2 linked regions of the Yarrowia lipolytica genome follow. The main gene of each other region encodes a partner of the protein of the gene in region 2 in a complex. Links are inferred from orthologs where the notes say so. Each region holds a gene or a part of one and is shown on either strand. Other genes may lie near its edges. The genes, in order: YALI1_B04937g and YALI1_F32167g.

Evidence for each region.
Region 1: YALI1_F32167g (region 2) and YALI1_B04937g share a complex: the UniProt entries of both Schizosaccharomyces pombe proteins name them as parts of the condensin complex. The link is inferred for Yarrowia lipolytica from reciprocal best matches to the Schizosaccharomyces pombe genes cut14 and cnd2.

What each region holds. Positions count from the first base shown.
Region 1 is NC_090771.1:490,984-495,844, forward strand, and holds YALI1_B04937g (uncharacterized protein), read right to left. Parts: upstream 2,740-4,861; coding exon 520-2,739; downstream 1-519. Other genes in the region: YALI1_B04947g (uncharacterized protein), read right to left, coding at 3,581-3,729, 3,772-3,889; YALI1_B04950g (uncharacterized protein), read left to right, coding at 4,043-4,861. UniProt on the Schizosaccharomyces pombe protein: Regulatory subunit of the condensin complex, a complex required for conversion of interphase chromatin into mitotic-like condense chromosomes.
Region 2 is NC_090775.1:3,212,745-3,218,968, forward strand, and holds YALI1_F32167g (uncharacterized protein), read right to left. Parts: upstream 4,041-6,224; coding exon 522-4,040; downstream 1-521. Other genes in the region: YALI1_F32204g (uncharacterized protein), read right to left, coding at 5,330-6,224. UniProt on the Schizosaccharomyces pombe protein: Central component of the condensin complex, a complex required for conversion of interphase chromatin into mitotic-like condense chromosomes.

The sequences.
Region 1 (4,861 bases), on a different chromosome or scaffold from region 2:
TGTACACGCAAATACCACCCAAAAAAGAGAGCCCGACGTGGGGCTTGAACCCACAGCCTTGAGATGACCTTGGAATAAGAGTCTCACGCTCTACCGATTGAGCTAGCCAGGCATTTTGTTGAAATTTTAGAAATCGTTCCCATCACACTCGAAAATTTTGATCACGTGACCAGAACTAAAAATAGAATCTAAAATAGAATATTAAATAGAATAAAACATCCCGACATTTGGATACGCTCACAAAAAAAATCAAATAAAATCGGGGAAAATGTATATTATTGATAATTAGGTAGAAGATGTGGTTTACACGATGAAATAGGTCACTCGAGGATATTATATAGATGTGTTTTTGCTTTTCATGGCATCATATGGAACTTACAGACAAAACTCCAAGATCACCCAACCCCTTGCCAAAACGGTTTACCGCCCTTCACTCTACAAACGCTCTCATCACTCATCATATTGTACACTCATTATTATATACGATCAATAAATTACACAACTGCTGTCTCAGTCCCATTATGCTCCCAGCTGATCCAGGCGAACATTCATATCCTTGCTGATGGCCAAGTCGGCCAAATCATCCTGCTGGTCGATACTGAGACCCTTCTCGTTAGCCAGATGCAACAGACAGATGAACACAAACGAGGTGGAGATCTCCTGCTTCTGTTGTCGGGGGTACTCGGCTCCCACCTGCTCCACGAGCTGGGTGAATCTCTTCTCCTCCACCTTTGCTGCATCCTCAACCATGTCGCCATTGTCCACCAACTCGTCCACCTTTTCATAATCCATGACTCTCCAAAGGTTGTCCTTCAATTTACGAACATCCACTCGCTTGGCCACCTTGGCGTACGAAACGTACTCTGGATGAGCCTTGGGCAGGCCCAGGAACGACGCATTGTGAGGCCCACCCATATCTGTAGCTCCTCCATAGTCGTCAAAGTCGTCATAGCCGCCGAAATCATCTCCATCGTCGTTCTGGCCAGGTATATCAACAGGTTCAGGTTCAGGGCCCTGAACACCGTATTCTGCCAGCTCCTCGTTGAAATGCTGAGCCCAGAAATGTTGGTCGGCGTCCTTTTCGCTCTGGAGAGTGACTCGATGCTTGAACAGTAGACCGGTGATTCGCTTGCCGGGCTTGATGAACAGCTTGACAAGATTGTCGGTGGAGAAGTGCTCGTCGTTAGGGAGCAGGTTGTTGGTATCAGATCGCTGCTGGGCCTTGGTGAGCGACAGAGTAGACATGTGTGCTGGTCGACCAAACAGCACAGCCTCGTCAATATCGTTATCTTCGGAAATGAAGTCAACTTCGACAGGAGCGGCCTTCTTCTTTGTCTTGTCAGCCTTCTCGCCTTCTTCTCCTTCCTCTCCATCTTCTCCAACATTATCTCTGCTTTCAATGGCCTTCTTCTGAATATCTCCCCGCAGCTTTTGGACCTTCCAGTGCTCAGGGCCGGCCCAGTTCTTCTTCAAGGTGTGATCAAAGTACGCCAGAAGATCAGCCTCGTTAATGGTGGGCTTGTATCGAGGGTCAGAGGGACCCACCCCGCCTGGAATAGCCACATCCTGAGCAATCTCGGCATACTGCTCGTTCATGGGGTTGTATCCAAACTCGAAATCCTCCACGGGACCTCCAGGTCCATCGTCATCGCCTCCTGCTCCAAGGTCGTCAAAACCAATATCTCCAAGAGCGGCATCGTCCAGAATGTCTTCGTCTCCTCCGTAGTCGAGCTCTGGCATGGAAGGTCGGTCATCGAGATTGTCGACTTGCAGACCCTCGGGAAGATTACTAGGGTCCTTGAGAGCAGCCTCGATCATAGCTGCAGAAGGACAGACGGACTTTGTTGCCAGAATAGACAGGTCGGGGAAAAACTTCGCCCCCAGCTGCTGCAGAGAAAAGCTGTCGGCACTATCATCCTCCATGTCTTCGTCTTCGCTAAGGTCGGCAAAATCTCCCTTACTAATCTCCTGGTCGAAATCTCCATCGAAAACCACGCGACCATTCTTGTCGATGCCCAGAGAGTTCATCAGCATGCCCTTGGCGCCTCCCTCATCGAAATCGGCACACATCTTCTTGAAAAGAGGATCGATAGAGAGTTCGAGCTCAAGCTTCTTAGCAGCATTCTCCTCAAAGCTCTTAGCCAGAGTAACTCCTCGAGGACGAACGGTTTTTTTCTTCTTCTCTCCTCCCTCCCCTTCCTCACCCTCCTGCCCTTCCTCCTCGTCGTCTTCATTACCGATATCCTCTCGTCCTTGCTTAGTAGCCAGTCCAGTCAACAATCGACCAGTCTCGGTGGCTGCGGAGTCAATACGAGACGAGTAAATCTTCATACAACCGTCCAGAGTGACGGAAGCACGTTGGAAGTTGATTCCGTCGCCCTCCTTAAGCAGCGACATGTCATGAAAGTAGTCAATGAGCGCGAAATTCCACGAATTCTGCGCATTGATCTTGTTGTCGTTCACCATCTTCATCCACTCCTCAAAGTTGGCCATGATGGGAACTTGGGGAGCAGCATTGTTCAGATGATCTCTAAGGCCCTCGTCAACGTCCTCACCAGCATTGGCGCCAGGAGAACCGAGCGAAACAGCTCCAGGAAGAATACTGAGACGCTTGGACTGTCGTCGCTTCTGCTTCTCGGCAGCGTCGTCGTTCATATGGACCAGTTTTTGCAGAGAAGGCTCGGATTCGCCCTGTTGGAGAAACCGTCCGGAAGACCGTCGTCGAGCTGGTCTTGCCATTTTCGTTTATCTGAATGTTTAGTTAGTCGTGTTGACGGATCGAAAAGTGTAAAGAGGTTTCTGTATATTCTGTATATTTACAAAATAGCCTTCACGCGTTGTTGTGTGCCGTTGTCCTGGCAACCGCGTAAAATAACCCTAACCCGAAGCTTCCGTATTTGGGGGCGGTGCGAAATCTGATGGCGTAGGTAGTAATACAAGCACGACTACAAGTGTATTACCAGCTGTTCGAAGGCCATATTCTAGACAGTTCGAATCGCCTTGAACCACCGCATACATTCCAATGCCCTAACCTGTACCGGTACATTTAACCCATCGTTCAGTGGCTGACCCATCAATAGCGCCGCCTGTTACCCCAGTTGGATGTACGCACGCGGTTCTGGAGATTGAGTTTGGAGGTCAATATGGGAGTGGTCTGGGTCGTCGGGACTCGCTTCACAGTTCATCAGTGGTGATGGATAGAAGGAACCGCGTAGCCCAAGGACTATGAAATTTCGTGATACCAAAAGCGGTTGAGAGAAAGGTGGGGCAATGAGAATTTCGGCTTGTTCCCCAATTGACAATGTGACTAGGGCTAGTCCAGTTGTGCCACATTGGGCATTCAGCAAAGAGGAAAAACGTTCAATAAAGAGGAAAAACGCACAGCCTTGAGATATTGGAACTGGGGAGACTGAATCGGGATATGCAAAGGCAAGGTGAAAAGAGATGGTCGGCGAACTGGATATCTCCAAAATGCGACGTTTTATGGCTGTCGATGCGGTCATTCCTACCATGTGTGACGACCTGTCGAGAATGGCTTTCCAATGATACCCATCATGTTATGATTCTACGCGAGCGCCCTCTAGATCAAGAGCCCTGAAAGTGCACTCCACCACTCAAACAGAGTGACAAGATAGAGTTGACCTCTCCACCCACTCGCCGCGTATAATAGAGGGAATGACTGTGTGTCTTCACATATAAACCCCCTTCTTCCGGTTCCTTCTCCTTTATCTAGTCAGCTCTGGATTCACACACACACGCACACACGCACACTTGGCCTCTTCTTGACCTGTCTGTATAGCCGATATTGCAGACACAGACTCAGATACAGACACAAACACACACAGACTTGTTTCTCAGCATTCTTACTCAGACTAGCACAGACACACATCCTTTCTTCTCACGCCCACTACATCGACCTAGTGGCCCACAGAAACAGCGTTACGGTGCTTCTATCACACATTGTGACTCAGTCTTGGTCAGTCACATCTCTGCCACAGACACAGACACATAATCCCACACCCACCTCATCCCACGACTCCAGATGCAGTTCCTACCCACGCTTGTGCTGCTGGCCCAGTGCCCAGACAATGTGGTGTGTATGCTTCCGCTGAGATCCTTCAAGCTCCGCCTTCTTCTTGCCTCCGCAGTGGATCCGGTCGCGCTCCAGGACATTCACGACGACCTTCCCACCCTGGCCGAGTTCGTCGACAGTCTCCGTCATCTCGCCTCCCTCATCCCCATTGGCCTCCACCTGGCTCGCTCCACCCAGGAGAACCAGACTATCATTGACCATCTTTCTGTTCCGGTTCTCTCCGGCTTTCTCCAGCGGCTCACTATGCCTGCTGTCAAGCCAGTGACCCCCGTGGACGCTGCTCCTGCCGGCCTGGCCCCTACCCGGACCCCTACTGCTCCTCTCGACCTCGAGAAGATTGCTCTGAGCCCAGACGTTTTTGATCATTCACCTATTTTCACTCTCAAGACCCACACCAGCTTCTCCAGCGTTGGGTCTTCTTCTCTCACCGGCTCGGCCTCTAGCTGTACTACCATGGTAAGCTCGCCCACCTGGAACGCCAAGGTCTCCAGATCCCACCTTGCCGAGCTGCTGGACGAACCTTTGGCCTCCAGCACCATGTTCACGTTTGAGAACGAAATCAAGCAGCTCGTCAACGAGCCCTCAGCCGTATTCCTCCTGTCTCTAGCCAAGGCTCAGCTCTCGCCCATGAAGACCCACATTGAGCTCTGCCCTCATGCTTCTCTTGACGAGTGCAGCTCCGACTGCCTCAATAAGGTCCGATTCGTGCCTCAGATCATGGCACACACCGAGCGGCCCCTGGAGGACTGCTCATATCTGGACAAGTGC
Region 2 (6,224 bases):
ACCAGTTGCCGGAGTGAGCCTGTTGCCACACATAGCAGTGATGTGCCTCTAACTACCAGGACCATGTCTCAAGGCTATTTACTAATTACACGTGTCCCAGTACACGTTTCTTATACACGTTTCAAACAACAATATGTACAGTATATACTGTACACTTCTTCCTGTCTCACTCTTGTCTGGCTTCTCTTTCCTCACCGCCGTTAAACCTAAGAGACACACACCAGCCAGTAGGAAACCAAGTAGACTGTGAGACACTAAGACCTGACTAATTCCAATTGCATTGAGTCTAGAGCTTTGGGTGTGTTGCGAGATAACATCTTCGTACATAAGTGTTCGCTACTCCGTTGTAGGTCTCATGTATCAAAATGAAATTAATGGTACAGCCTCTCTGTAGGTACTGGGTCCTGTATCATTTTTCATTCGTGATGCTCAGCATTAGCACTTATATGAGTGTATGTACTGTACAGCATGGTAGACACTCGAATACATATAAATACATTAAAATACAACCCACATAAATCCTACATGGCAATGACGGACGACGAGCCCTCCTGGAATCGAGCCTTGAAGACTCGGTTGGCGTTGCTGAAGAATCCCTCTTTAAGCGACACAACAATGAACTGCGAGCCCTTGAATCGCGTCTTGATCAGATGACCAATGTTCTGAGTGTGGTTCAAATCCAAAGCAGCATCAACCTCATCAAGAATGTACATAGGAGCAGGCTTGAACTGGAGCAGAGCCAGAATCAACGACAGAGCAACTAGAGATCGCTGACCTCCAGAAAGCTCCGCCAGAGACTCCTTCCAAATCTTACCCAGCATGACCTTGATTTCCAGACCCTCGGTAATCTCCTTGCCCTCCAGAAGTACCAGCTTGGCGAAGGAGCCAGGCAACAGAGTCGCGAAGATCTGACCAAAGTCCTCGCTCACCTTCTTCCACGTCTTGGTCAGAGCCTTGCATTTGTACTCGTTCAAAGACACAATGGTCTGCTCAATCTTGACCTTGTCCTTCTCGATGGTCTTGATCATACCTCGTAGAGTCGCTTCCTTCTTCTCAACGTTGTCAATCATGTTCATGACCTTGTCGTTGACCTTGTGTCCGAGACCCTTGATTCGCTCCTCCAACTGGCCAGCGGCCCGTCGCACCTGCTTGATGTCCACACTCTCGTAGTCATAATGAGATCCGGGCTTGCCAAACAGGTGAGCGTCAGCAGCGACCCAGTTGTACTTGGCCTCCATGGCAGTGGCGCCCTTAGAAGCATCTTCCAGCTCCTTCATCTTACGGGTATGAAGATGCTCAGCCTCCTTTGCAGCGACAAGAGCATCGGCATGGAAGTCTCGTTTCTGTTGAAGAGTAGCCTCCAAAGATCGTCGCTCCTCGTCCATGCCATGCAGAGCAGCCATCATCTCCTCAACCTGCTGGGTCAGAGAAGCCTCCAGAGCACGGGCCTCGTCCTGCTGAGTCTCCAGTTGAGCAAGGCCGCCTCGGGTAGCCTGAATTGCCTCTTTTAAAGCCTCGGCCTCGTCTTTCATACCAGTAATGTCGGACATAAACTGCTCGAGAGAAACCTGGATGTCCTCATGGGCAGCTGAGGCCTCGTCAACAACAGACCGGTGCTGAGCTACTTCAGCAGCCATTTCTTCGACAGAAGCAGCCAGCTCCTCAAGCTTACTGCCCTTGTTCTTTCCAAAGTCAGCCATGTCTCTCTCGATAGTTCCAATCAGAGCAATGGCGTCTTCAAGCTTCTGGTTGAGCGTGGGAAGGGACTCCTGGAGCTCATGAAGCTCGGCCTCCTGTTCCTGCTTCTTTCGCAGAACAGAAGCACTGGAAGAAGACTCCAGTTGCTTCTCGCCGGTCTTGATCTCGTGCTCCCGAATTGAAAGCTGGTTTTCAAGCTGTCGTCGCTCAGAGATAACTTTGGAAAACTGAGCCATGGACTTCTGGATGTTGCTGAGATCGTATCGAGCCTCCTCCAGCTCCTGTGTAAGGTTGTTGATGCTCGTCAACTTCTTGAGAAGATCTCCACTTCGCTGCTGAGAGCCTCCAGAAAGGGTACCCTCAGGCGAGTAGTGATCTCCCTCCAGAGTCACACAATGAGCACGAATCTGGGGATGGTAAGCACACTTCTTTGCGGTCTCGGTATCTACACACACAAGAGTGCCGCCAAAAACATAAGCCATGGCCTTAGCAACCTCATCGGAGTATCCAACTAGCTCTAGGGCACGTCCAACCCGGCCGGGGGCCACCTGCTGGGCCACGGCGAGTCGCTCCGCAGAAATTAGACCTTCGGCAGCAATTTTATTCAGAGGAATCATGGTGACTCGTCGCTTGAGTCGGCCCCGCTGTAGCAGCTCCTTACCGGTGATCTCATTGTCAACAACAACGTTGAACAGCTTGCCTCCAGCAGCAACCTGCAGAGCAATGCACTTGTCCATGTTCTCATCTCCAATGGTCAGCAGTTCGGCCACGAAACCCTTGACGGATGAAGCAGAGAAGTTGGCATGAGGACGAGCGTAGGTGAACTCGGAGAACGACGCTTGACGCTTCTCGGAGTCAATTCGAGCAGAAAGAGCATCGATTCGCGACATGCACTCGCGCTCCTTTCCGGTCCAGTCCTCGTCGGCTCCGGGAACAGCCATAAGACGCTCCACTTCAGCTTCCAGAGCTCCTTTGGCTTCTCGCAGACCAGCCAGCTTGTCGAGCACGCTCTGGTTCTGGCTCTCAGCCTTGGCGACCTTGGGAGCGTCTCTTTTGAGAGCCTCTGTCAGATGTGAGATTCGCATCTGAGCACGATCAATTGCCACACGAGAATCATTGGCCTGTTCACGTGCCTCAGCAAGTTGGCGCTGGTAGCCAGACTCCTTACCGGCCGAAGATGCGATACCGGTCTGAAGCGACTGTAGCAGTTCACGCTTGGACTCGAGAGCCTTGGTCATGGAGTCAAGACGCTGTGTTTGAGCGTCCAGTTCTCTCTGGCTAGCGTCAACTTCGGCCTGGCGCTTCTGGAGCTCCTCGGTTCGATCAGTAGCCTCAAGACTGGCTAGTGAATCTTCTTCCTCGGTAAGCTGGGACCGTTTCAGGTCGATTGTAGTGTTGAGACGCACCACTTCATGGGAGGCAGCCTTGGCCTGCTTTTGAAGAACAGAAACATTCGTATCTTTAGACGCCTCGGCTGCCTGACGAGCCTTGACCTCGGCAATGTCCTGCTCGAGCACGCCCATCTCGTGTGTGTTCTGCTCCACTGCTAGGGCCTTTGCTTCCTTCTCGGCAACAATCGCTTCAATAGCGGCGGTCATCTCCTGAGCACCCTGGGTCAACATGATGTAGTCATGTGCCACAATGAGCTTGATAGCCCGCTCGAGGTCGGACTGGGTGTGTTGGTACTCGAGGAACGACTTCTTTTCCTGTCGCAGCTTATCCAACTTGGGCTTAATTTCCTCCTCCAAAAGCAATGCACTTTCCTGGCGCCGGGCATCCTTCTTCGCCATAGTCTTGAGAGCCTTCTCCTTTCGATCCTCGTACATTCGAGTTCCAGCGGCCTCCTCGATGAGAGCCAGCACCTCGGCAGGCTTCATGTTCAGTACTTTGGTGATTCGACCCTGCATGATCAGAAAGTTGGGATTGTTGATATTGAGCTGGACCGATTGGAACAAATGCTGTACCGTCTGCTGCTGCGCTCGGTGACCGTTGATCAGGTACTTGCTCGTGCCTCCAAGCACAATCTGACGGGTCACCGAGATCTGGGCGTACTTCTCGAACCCGATAGGACTAGTGGCGGTATCTGAGTTGTCGAAAACAATGGTGACACTTGCCTTGGTCACACCGGCCTGTCCTCGCTTGTAGATGAGATCCTGGAGGTTCTGAGCTCGAACAGTAGCCATGGTCGTGATACCTAGCACGAAACAAATGGCGTCCAGAATGTTGGACTTGCCACTACCGTTGAGACCGGTGATACAGTTGAACTGCGGGTCCCATCCGGAGATGACTGTACGCGTGGCGTACGACTTGAAGCCGTCGATTACGAGCTCTTCGACTTTCATTTAGGTGTTGAGAGGTGTGGTTTAGAAAAAGAACGTTAAGCGTGTTTCGTGTTTGGGACCTGTTGTCCCAGCAACGGTTAGAGTTTTGAGTGTTACACTTTAATTCGCCGCGAAAGCTACTCGTAAGTAGTTGAAGTACTGATTATAGGTGCGTTCTGTTACCAAAAACAATGGCTACACATTACAAGTAGTCGGTTCCATTGCAGCAAAAAATGACAACCGAGAGATTCGAACTCTCGCCTCCGAAGAGACCAGGATATTCGTTAAGGTGTTAGCCTTAACCTGGCGCCTTAGACCGCTCGGCCAGGTTGCCCGAAATGTGCCAGATTCGGGTCCGTTTCTTATTCCAAAAGTGGTTCGGGTCACGTGATTACTGTACTGTAATGAATCTGTAATGAATCATTAGAATAAAAATAAAAAACCGTGTTTCACTAGAATAAACAAAATTCCTAGTTGATTTTCAGAACGTCTTACCAAGTGGCAAGTGTGTGTTCTATTGTTCTTTACTAAATGGCATGGAAAGTATCGCATCACTGCTGTATGATGGGCTCAGAGCTGTTCTCCTGAAGCTTGAGGAAAAAAAACAGAAAAGGAGAAGAAGAAAAAAATCATTTGACGATGAAGATCGATGGGGCGTTGTTTTTGGAGCCCCTGTGGAGCTTCTTCTTTACTTTTTATTTTTATTTAACCAGGGGCCTGTGGGCAGGTGTTGGATGTTGTGCTTGTTTACCACATCTTGATTTGGAGTTGTATAGGATGTCTAACTCACGCGACAAGTACTTACACAATTGTGTGTGACAAGAAATATACAGTACATTTTACACGTGTAAGTGCCCGATATTCATTCCTAACTACAGCAAGGGCGTAGAAACTCCTTAACACCAAAATCGAACGCCATTTTTTTTTATTCTAATTACAAAAATCAAACGTTTTTTTTCTTTTCTAATGATTCGTGACTAAGCAGAAAGCACAATGTTTGCCTAACGTTTTCAAAAATCGGAAGATTTTTCAGGCATCCTGGCCGAGCGGTTAAGGCGAGAGATTAGAAATCTCTTGGGGTTTCCCCGCGTAGGTTCGAATCCTGCGGACGTCGCCATTTTTTGTTGATCCTGAACAGATACGAACCGACACTTACTGTAACTCGTACCCTTAGAATATGCGTACTGTACTTGGATTCGTGTCCTCGAGTCATGTCTCAATCTCATTTTAAGTAGCTACGATTACTTATCTCGTCGCTCCATTTTTGAAATGCAATAATTATACAAGTAAACAGGAACAGTAAACAGATACTAGCGGAAACCTCCAAGAGTCTTTCTTCGCTTGGAACGCTTCTGAGACCCGCCCTGTGAACCGGAGGGGCCAGCAGATTGTCTTCTCGTGTCCTGAGAGGCAACACGAGCTAGCGACGAGCGATGGGAGCTGGACGGAGCCAAAGATGCTCGCTGCGAAGGAGCCTGGCTCGATAGAGACAGTGTGGGAATCGTGTTTCTGCTGGCAACAATCTGGGAAAGCAGCTCCTGCTGAGTAGGGGCCTTACGCTTATTCTTGCGCGTTCCAAATTCGACCCAATCATCGTAGTTGGTTTTGGGAGGCGCACCTATCACCCAGTCATCCAACATCTTTGTAATATGCACCGGAACGTCCTTTTCCTTTCCTCTGTCTTCTTTGGAGCGACGTACGCTACACGTCAGGTAGCAGAGCGTAGCTGCCAACCGACGACACATACGCTCAGTCTTGATGCGATACTCTATGAGGTACTTTCCAAGAAGAGGATTGCCCCGATCAGATGTGTCAGTCGAGGGAGTGACGTATACACTCATGAGTTCCTCGTACTTTTTCACTGGGTCCACATTTGGGAAGATCCGGACCGCAGAGGTGCTATAATGTTTCTGCAACTCGCCCAGCATCTCCCCAAACTCATCAATCGACGAAGGTGTGTCGTCAGCTCCCAATTGAGCTAGAGACGTTCTACCGCCAGGACAGCCTTCCTTGTGCCAGGTCTTGATGAGACCATCAAGCTTCCCAGCAATCTCAGACACACCAATGGGCTCTGGAAATGGTGGCGGTAGCATAAACTCGTCATAGCCTTCAAAACTGAACACTCTCACGTTTTGTTCTTTACCATTTTTGTACTGACCAGGAAACTTCCACACTGGGTCAGGTTTGTAGTCTTGAAATTTGGAC